Linked DNA regions of Arabidopsis thaliana. The protein of the gene in region 1 interacts with the protein of each later gene in a pairwise test. Each region holds a gene or a part of one and is shown in the gene's direction. Other genes may lie near its edges.

What was found. Proteins that work in one complex are often made in the same cells at the same time.
Region 2: the proteins of CZF1 (region 1) and MYB105 interact in a two-hybrid assay, tested with the Arabidopsis thaliana proteins (one large-scale study listed by BioGRID).

Annotation. Positions count from the first base shown.
Region 1 is NC_003071.7:16,770,323-16,774,080, forward strand, and holds the start of CZF1 (zinc finger (CCCH-type) family protein), read left to right. Parts: upstream 1-1,674; 5' UTR 1,675-1,931; intron 1,932-2,206; 5' UTR 2,207-2,214; coding exon 2,215-3,758. UniProt on the Arabidopsis thaliana protein: Involved in salt stress response. May positively modulate plant tolerance to salt stress.
Region 2 is NC_003070.9:26,155,808-26,159,565, forward strand, and holds MYB105 (myb domain protein 105), read left to right. Parts: upstream 1-1,894; 5' UTR 1,895-1,899; coding exon 1,900-2,371; intron 2,372-2,447; coding exon 2,448-2,816; intron 2,817-2,899; coding exon 2,900-3,099; 3' UTR 3,100-3,287; downstream 3,288-3,758. UniProt on the Arabidopsis thaliana protein: Probable transcription factor that involved in boundary specification, meristem initiation and maintenance, and organ patterning. Functions in both lateral organ separation and axillary meristem formation.

The DNA of each region.
Region 1 (3,758 bases):
TGATGTGACGAGAGAAAAATAAGTGAATATTTAATACTATATACTATAGTATATTTTTGCAAAAGTTAAAGGTGTTGCATTAATTTTTTGATAGCAAACAATTAAGGAAATGGGGGAAAAAGTGTAAGCGGGCGGCCAAGTGAAGACATTCTCTGTCGCCCACCCAAACACCAAAGAAGAGAAGGCGTGCCTCACTTTCCCTCTTTCTCCACGCACTTCTCCTTGCCCGTGTTTCTCACTCGCTTTACCCTAATCACTCCATTACAACTATACCTACAAGACCATTAAGATAAGCTTATCAATAAGAACACTGAGATAAAGTTGATCTCTATTTACGAATTGTTTACTACCAATAGATTTTGATTCGTACCAATCTTTTAAAGTATGTATGTATTGTTTGAATAGTAGTTCTACCGAACCAAAAATATTTTAATTGATCATGTAAAATATATTTAAGATTGTTGTGTGTTAATTATAGTGATCTTTAGAAAAAAGAGTAGCCAACGTGATAATGAAAGCGCGTGTTAAGAGTATTGAAACACTCACACGCTTGTGGAGGTTACCTGCTAAGTCGGTCGATTTGATCGATGGTGGGTCTTTTACACATCCCCAACGTCATTTACCATTTATTCAACCTCATATATTATGTTCTTGATGATGAAAAAGAACATAATATTTTTTTTTTTTTTTTTTTTTAATTTTTTTTTGATGATGATGAAAAAAAAAAATATTATGTTCTTTTTTAATTTCTTTTTAATATTTTTGACAGTAATTTTATTTTAATCTTATTTTGTTACAAATAGTTTTTAATACCTTAGGACCTGTTGGAACTTGGAAAAAAACAATATTTTTTAATATCTCAGGATCTTTGCCCATACATGTTTTGGGCACCCATGCGTTTATATGAAAAACAGCATGCAGATGTAAAATATAAACAACTGTAGATTTGGTCAGATGTTAAAATTTAAATTATGTCTTTTGAAATGTGACCTATAATTGTCCAGATAGATATACATAACTATTTAGTAATTGTAAGTCTATTTCCTGTAATGTATTCAGCTAAATGCATGTAGATAATCTGATATCACATACATCTATAGCCATATAGAGAATGCATAGTAACATCAACAACATATAAATTTTGGGCTATTTTCTAATGAGGGTTTTTGAGTATAAATGGATCTCCTAAAACGAGTTTACCGGATGGGTAAGGTAGTAGTTCCCTTTGAGTTTTCTTTCTGCTTTGTATAATTAAAACAAAGTAATTGATTAGGAACTTAGTAGGTCCTAAAGAGAACCAACAATGGTTTCGGTTATAAATAAACCAAATGGGTACATTATCCTTATATCTAGAAACTTTAACCAAAAACAAGATGTTATCTAGAAACAATAAATACATCCGGAATGAGACTTTTTCTTATGTAAGTCGATACAATGGGGGCATTGTTTTATTTCCCTTCAAATGAACTTTGCTTTTTGATCATTTTAAAAAGCCATATTGAAAAAATCAATGAGATAGGAAGATAGATATTATAATATTCTTTTTATAAAAAAGACAAAAAAAATACACTAAAACAATTGAATAAGAGTCAGCAAAACAACGACGTCCTTACCTTTTTTAAAAGTTTCCCAGTTTTGACTTTTGACCTAAACCATTTCCATGTAGAAAGAGAGCAAAAAACAAAACAAAACAAAGATAAGTAAAAAATAAAAATGATATAAAGAAGGAAGAAGAAGACCGAGAAAGGTAGACGAAAGAAAGAGCGTACCTTCCTCTTTCCTTCTTCGTAAAAACCAAGTTCCTTTTAAAAGGAGCCTCTCCTTTCTCATTTGATCCTTCTTCAAAAACCCCAACCACTTCTTCTCCCCAAAAACCTCCAAAGTTTCAATCTTTACTTCTCTCTTTTTCTCCAAGTTATCTTCTTTTCTAGGTATGTCTTGATTCTTTCTCTCTCTGTTTTTTCCTATTTCATTCAGGATTCTGGGTTTGGTTAAATCTTTAATCTTTATGGTTTTAATGGCTTGATTTTGACGAAACGGTCGTGTAATTATTCATTACTTTGCTTAAATTGGGGATTGATTTTGTGTATAAAGAAGAATCTTGAAAATGAAAAATTGAAACTTTGAATCGAAAGAACTCAATTTGCGTTGCTCTTTCTCATTCTTTGTTGCTTTCTCCTAAAAGTTTTTCACTTTTGAATCACAGGAAGAGATATGTGCGGTGCAAAGAGCAACCTTTGCTCATCTAAAACCCTAACAGAAGTCGAATTCATGAGGCAGAAATCAGAAGACGGAGCTTCCGCCACGTGTCTCCTCGAATTCGCCGCCTGTGATGATCTTTCATCGTTTAAGAGAGAGATCGAAGAGAATCCATCGGTGGAGATTGATGAGTCAGGGTTTTGGTATTGCAGACGGGTCGGGTCTAAGAAGATGGGTTTTGAAGAAAGAACACCACTTATGGTTGCTGCTATGTATGGAAGCATGGAAGTGTTGAATTACATAATTGCCACAGGAAGATCCGATGTGAACAGAGTTTGCAGTGACGAGAAAGTCACTGCTCTTCACTGTGCAGTTTCTGGCTGTTCTGTTTCTATCGTTGAGATCATCAAGATCTTGCTTGATGCTTCTGCTTCACCTAATTGTGTTGACGCTAATGGGAACAAACCGGTTGATTTGTTGGCTAAAGATTCTCGGTTTGTTCCTAACCAGAGTAGAAAGGCGGTTGAGGTTTTACTGACCGGGATTCATGGTTCGGTTATGGAAGAAGAGGAGGAGGAACTGAAGAGTGTTGTGACTAAGTATCCAGCTGATGCATCACTTCCTGATATTAACGAAGGTGTTTATGGAACTGATGATTTTAGGATGTTTAGCTTTAAGGTTAAGCCATGTTCTAGGGCTTATTCACATGATTGGACTGAATGTCCTTTTGTTCATCCTGGTGAGAATGCAAGGAGGAGAGATCCTAGGAAGTATCCTTACACTTGTGTGCCTTGTCCCGAGTTTCGTAAAGGGTCTTGTCCTAAAGGAGATTCGTGTGAGTACGCGCACGGTGTTTTCGAGTCTTGGCTTCACCCGGCGCAGTATAGGACACGGCTTTGCAAAGATGAGACTGGTTGTGCTAGGAGAGTTTGTTTCTTTGCTCATAGACGGGATGAGTTAAGACCGGTTAATGCTTCTACTGGTTCTGCAATGGTTTCACCAAGGTCGTCTAATCAGTCTCCTGAGATGTCTGTTATGTCTCCTTTGACGCTGGGATCATCGCCAATGAACTCTCCTATGGCTAATGGTGTTCCTTTGTCTCCAAGAAATGGTGGTTTATGGCAGAACAGAGTTAATAGCCTTACACCACCACCGTTGCAGCTTAATGGTAGCAGATTGAAGTCGACTTTGAGTGCTAGAGATATGGATATGGAGATGGAACTTAGGTTTCGCGGTTTGGATAACCGGAGACTTGGTGATCTCAAGCCATCCAACCTCGAAGAGACTTTCGGATCATATGACTCAGCTTCTGTGATGCAACTTCAATCACCAAGCAGGCATTCTCAGATGAACCACTATCCGTCTTCACCTGTGAGGCAGCCTCCTCCTCATGGATTCGAATCTTCAGCAGCCATGGCAGCTGCAGTGATGAATGCAAGATCCTCAGCGTTTGCGAAACGCAGCTTGAGTTTCAAACCAGCTCCAGTAGCTTCTAATGTCTCCGATTGGGGATCACCAAATGGGAAGCTTGAGTGGGGAATGCAAAGAGATGAGCTGAA
Region 2 (3,758 bases), on another chromosome or scaffold:
ACTTGTTAACTTAAATAAGTAGATAACATATACTTTTTTTTCTTTTCAAATGATAACAAAATAAAAGTGAAGGTAATTGGGTTGGGTGTAGATATCCTTAATTAACCTGCTAATGGTTAGTGTTACTTTGTTAGTGCGTATCTTTGAAAAAGTAACTATCCATTCTCACATCTACTGTATGACACAAATTTAGTGTAAATTAAGAAAGTATATATTCAAAGTTATTGACCAAGAAAAAAGGACCATAGGAAATGTTGAGTTAATCTCTGCAGATGGACCGTACAAGTCTGCAGCAAATACTCTGAATCTGAGATAATGTATTCCTCTGCCAATTGATATCTTTTTGGTCAAATAAATACATCTACGTTATGCTTAAAGTCTCACCAAACCTAGGTATTTCCTTTGTATATATGGGATAATATATGTTTCGTATATGCATTTATAGCTGCACAATTAATTAATAATAAAAAAAGAAATACTTTACATTCTTTTTTAAAATTGCATTATGGTGTTATGAATATTCATATTGCGACAGAAATTCTAACGATAATAACTTAATAAGTCTAGCCGATCCCTTAAAAAAATGATTTATAACAGCGAATTCTGCGACATATGGTTGGATAGTTAATTTTAAAATCAGTAAATGGTAGAATTGATATGGCAACAAGTAGTCAAGACTATATGAAAAACGGACTCGTTTGGGAAGATCATTAACATTCACATTATGAAGAGACCGGCTATGTACGTAGAAAGAGGGTTTCATATAAACCATCAAAATGTCGAGAGTGAGAGATAAATGGGGATTGGTGAAAAGACATGTGAAGTGTGCGTGAGAGATATAATTGTGGTTAGAAAATAAAAGACGCAAGAGTCAAATCAAATGTATGCTTTGAGCCTTTTTGGCTGTTATAGTTGGGACTACTTCAGATGTTTAGTTTCATCCTCATTACTATTTCCAATTTTCGGTAGCAACCAACAACAACAACAAAATCATTAATTATTTTTTTAAAAAAAAAAGATTCTGTAAATTGTAGGTTTCTTTGTAAAGGAAAAACAAATAAACAACCAATTTGTGATGGTTTAGTGGTTAATTCAAATTGGTTGTGAGATAGAATTCAAAACTTTGATAATGCATGAGCAGTGACCACTATGAATGTATTAAATGACAAGAATACCTAACGCTTAATTCATATGTATCAAGCGGAAAATAGTTAAAACTTGGGGTGAAATCGCCTTGTTACTTGAACAAAAAAGAAAAAGAAGAAGATCATATTCATAGTTCGAAATTCAAACAAGATAATACCAAGATTTTGTTTGGCAAGCAATCGTAGAATAATATGATGTTTTGTTTGGGGCAACAAAGAACAAAAGCAGTTGAACTAAAAAAAAAGATGTTTACGGATGTTTAACAACTTTTCATCTCTCTCCACTTTTCCAAACACATCTCCACTGCTCACAACGTAGGAAACGTGTTCCCTGTCCTTTACTCTTTCTCTGTCCTAGCATTTTTATTTATTTCTTTCATCTCTATACGTTTCCACATTCCTAGTTTTTTCAAAATTAAGTAGTGACAATTATTGTGAAAATGTTATTGGATTTTATTGTAAATGTAGATTATAGCTATTTGGTTATAACTTAAACCAGAGATAATAATACTATTTATACAATAATCCTAAATTAAAATATCTAGAATGTAAATTAAACTGAGTGTTGAAAACAATTTACAATGCATAAATACAAATGTATAGAAATATATATCAGCTTTCAAATCAGTCCGTGACAGTCCATGAACCTTTTAACAGTTGTATAACAGCATTTTGTCAGAAAACAAGGTCACAACATATACATACACGCACATAGCTTAGAGCCATACGTAATAATATCACACAAATATCAATTATGATGTTCAAAGTCATATTTAATATTTGCTCTTCTCCTCCAATGAGGATGGAGATGGTGCATGCTGACGTGGCGTCTCTCTCCATAACACCTTGCTTCCCGTCTTCTTTGTCTTCGTCCTCACATCATCACTATAACCAACAACAACATTGTATCATGTCGGAAGATCAACACCATTCGATGGATCAGACCACTTCATCGGACTACTTCTCTTTAAATATCGACAATGCTCAACATCTCCGTAGCTACTACACAAGTCATAGAGAAGAAGACATGAACCCTAATCTAAGTGATTACAGTAATTGCAACAAGAAAGACACAACAGTCTATAGAAGCTGTGGACACTCGTCAAAAGCTTCGGTGTCTAGAGGACATTGGAGACCAGCTGAAGATACTAAGCTCAAAGAACTAGTCGCCGTCTACGGTCCACAAAACTGGAACCTCATAGCTGAGAAGCTCCAAGGAAGATCCGGTACGTTAATTCTGTCACTTGATTAAGCTTTTACAAGATTCACGTTCTTGAGATTTTGGGTGTTAATGTTGAGCAGGGAAAAGCTGTAGGCTTCGATGGTTTAACCAACTAGACCCAAGGATAAATAGAAGAGCCTTCACTGAGGAAGAAGAAGAGAGGCTAATGCAAGCTCATAGGCTTTATGGTAACAAATGGGCGATGATAGCGAGGCTTTTCCCTGGTAGGACTGATAATTCTGTGAAGAACCATTGGCATGTTATAATGGCTCGCAAGTTTAGGGAACAATCTTCTTCTTACCGTAGGAGGAAGACGATGGTTTCTCTTAAGCCACTCATTAACCCTAATCCTCACATTTTCAATGATTTTGACCCTACCCGGTTAGCTTTGACCCACCTTGCTAGTAGTGACCATAAGCAGCTTATGTTACCAGTTCCTTGCTTCCCAGGTTTGAGTTTTTGTGTTCTCTTTTCTTTCAGTTTTTAATTCCATATCATTTCTTAATTTTCTTCCATTTTTTGTACTATTTAGGTTATGATCATGAAAATGAGAGTCCATTAATGGTGGATATGTTCGAAACCCAAATGATGGTTGGCGATTACATTGCATGGACACAAGAGGCAACTACATTCGATTTCTTAAACCAAACCGGGAAGAGTGAGATATTTGAAAGAATCAATGAGGAGAAGAAACCACCATTTTTCGATTTTCTTGGGTTGGGGACGGTGTGATCATCATCGATCATGAACAAGACTGGCTTGAGTTAGTTAACAAAAGTTATGAGATGATTTGAGTCCTTGTCGATGTAGTTATGTTGCGTTAATAATTGTAGATTAAATGTTGTTGTCCTTAGTCACATGCAACATTCCTTACCCCGTGTTAATTAGCACGTACATATATACCACTCGTTGGTTAAAATCAATGCTTTCATTTATGTAGATGCCAAATTGTCTCACCTTTACCAAAATTGATTTGAAGTGTAAAACATTTGTACCACTTTATAGTTCTAACTAACTCTTATCTTATATGAAAATGTCAGATTCCGTCATTAATGTCCAAAAATTGTATGGAGTGAGAGTAACAACATGCTTCGTATATGAAGAGGAAGGTGACATATGTTAAAACAGGGACGATGATGTGGATATAAGAAACGACAAAGAACGATAGAGAAGTCAAATTAAAAGGAATAATGTACTACATTGTATTTATTTGGAGTATGCAGAAGTTTAATAACAACATGCGATATTGATGAGGTTGCAAGATTCAGGCACAGATTCTGCAACAGAAAGTCCAAACATCCACTCTTTAATATTCTCACACCCATTGCATTTTTTTATTCTCTCCAAAGCAAAAACATATTTTCATTTCATTGCCCCTTACTTATGCGTCT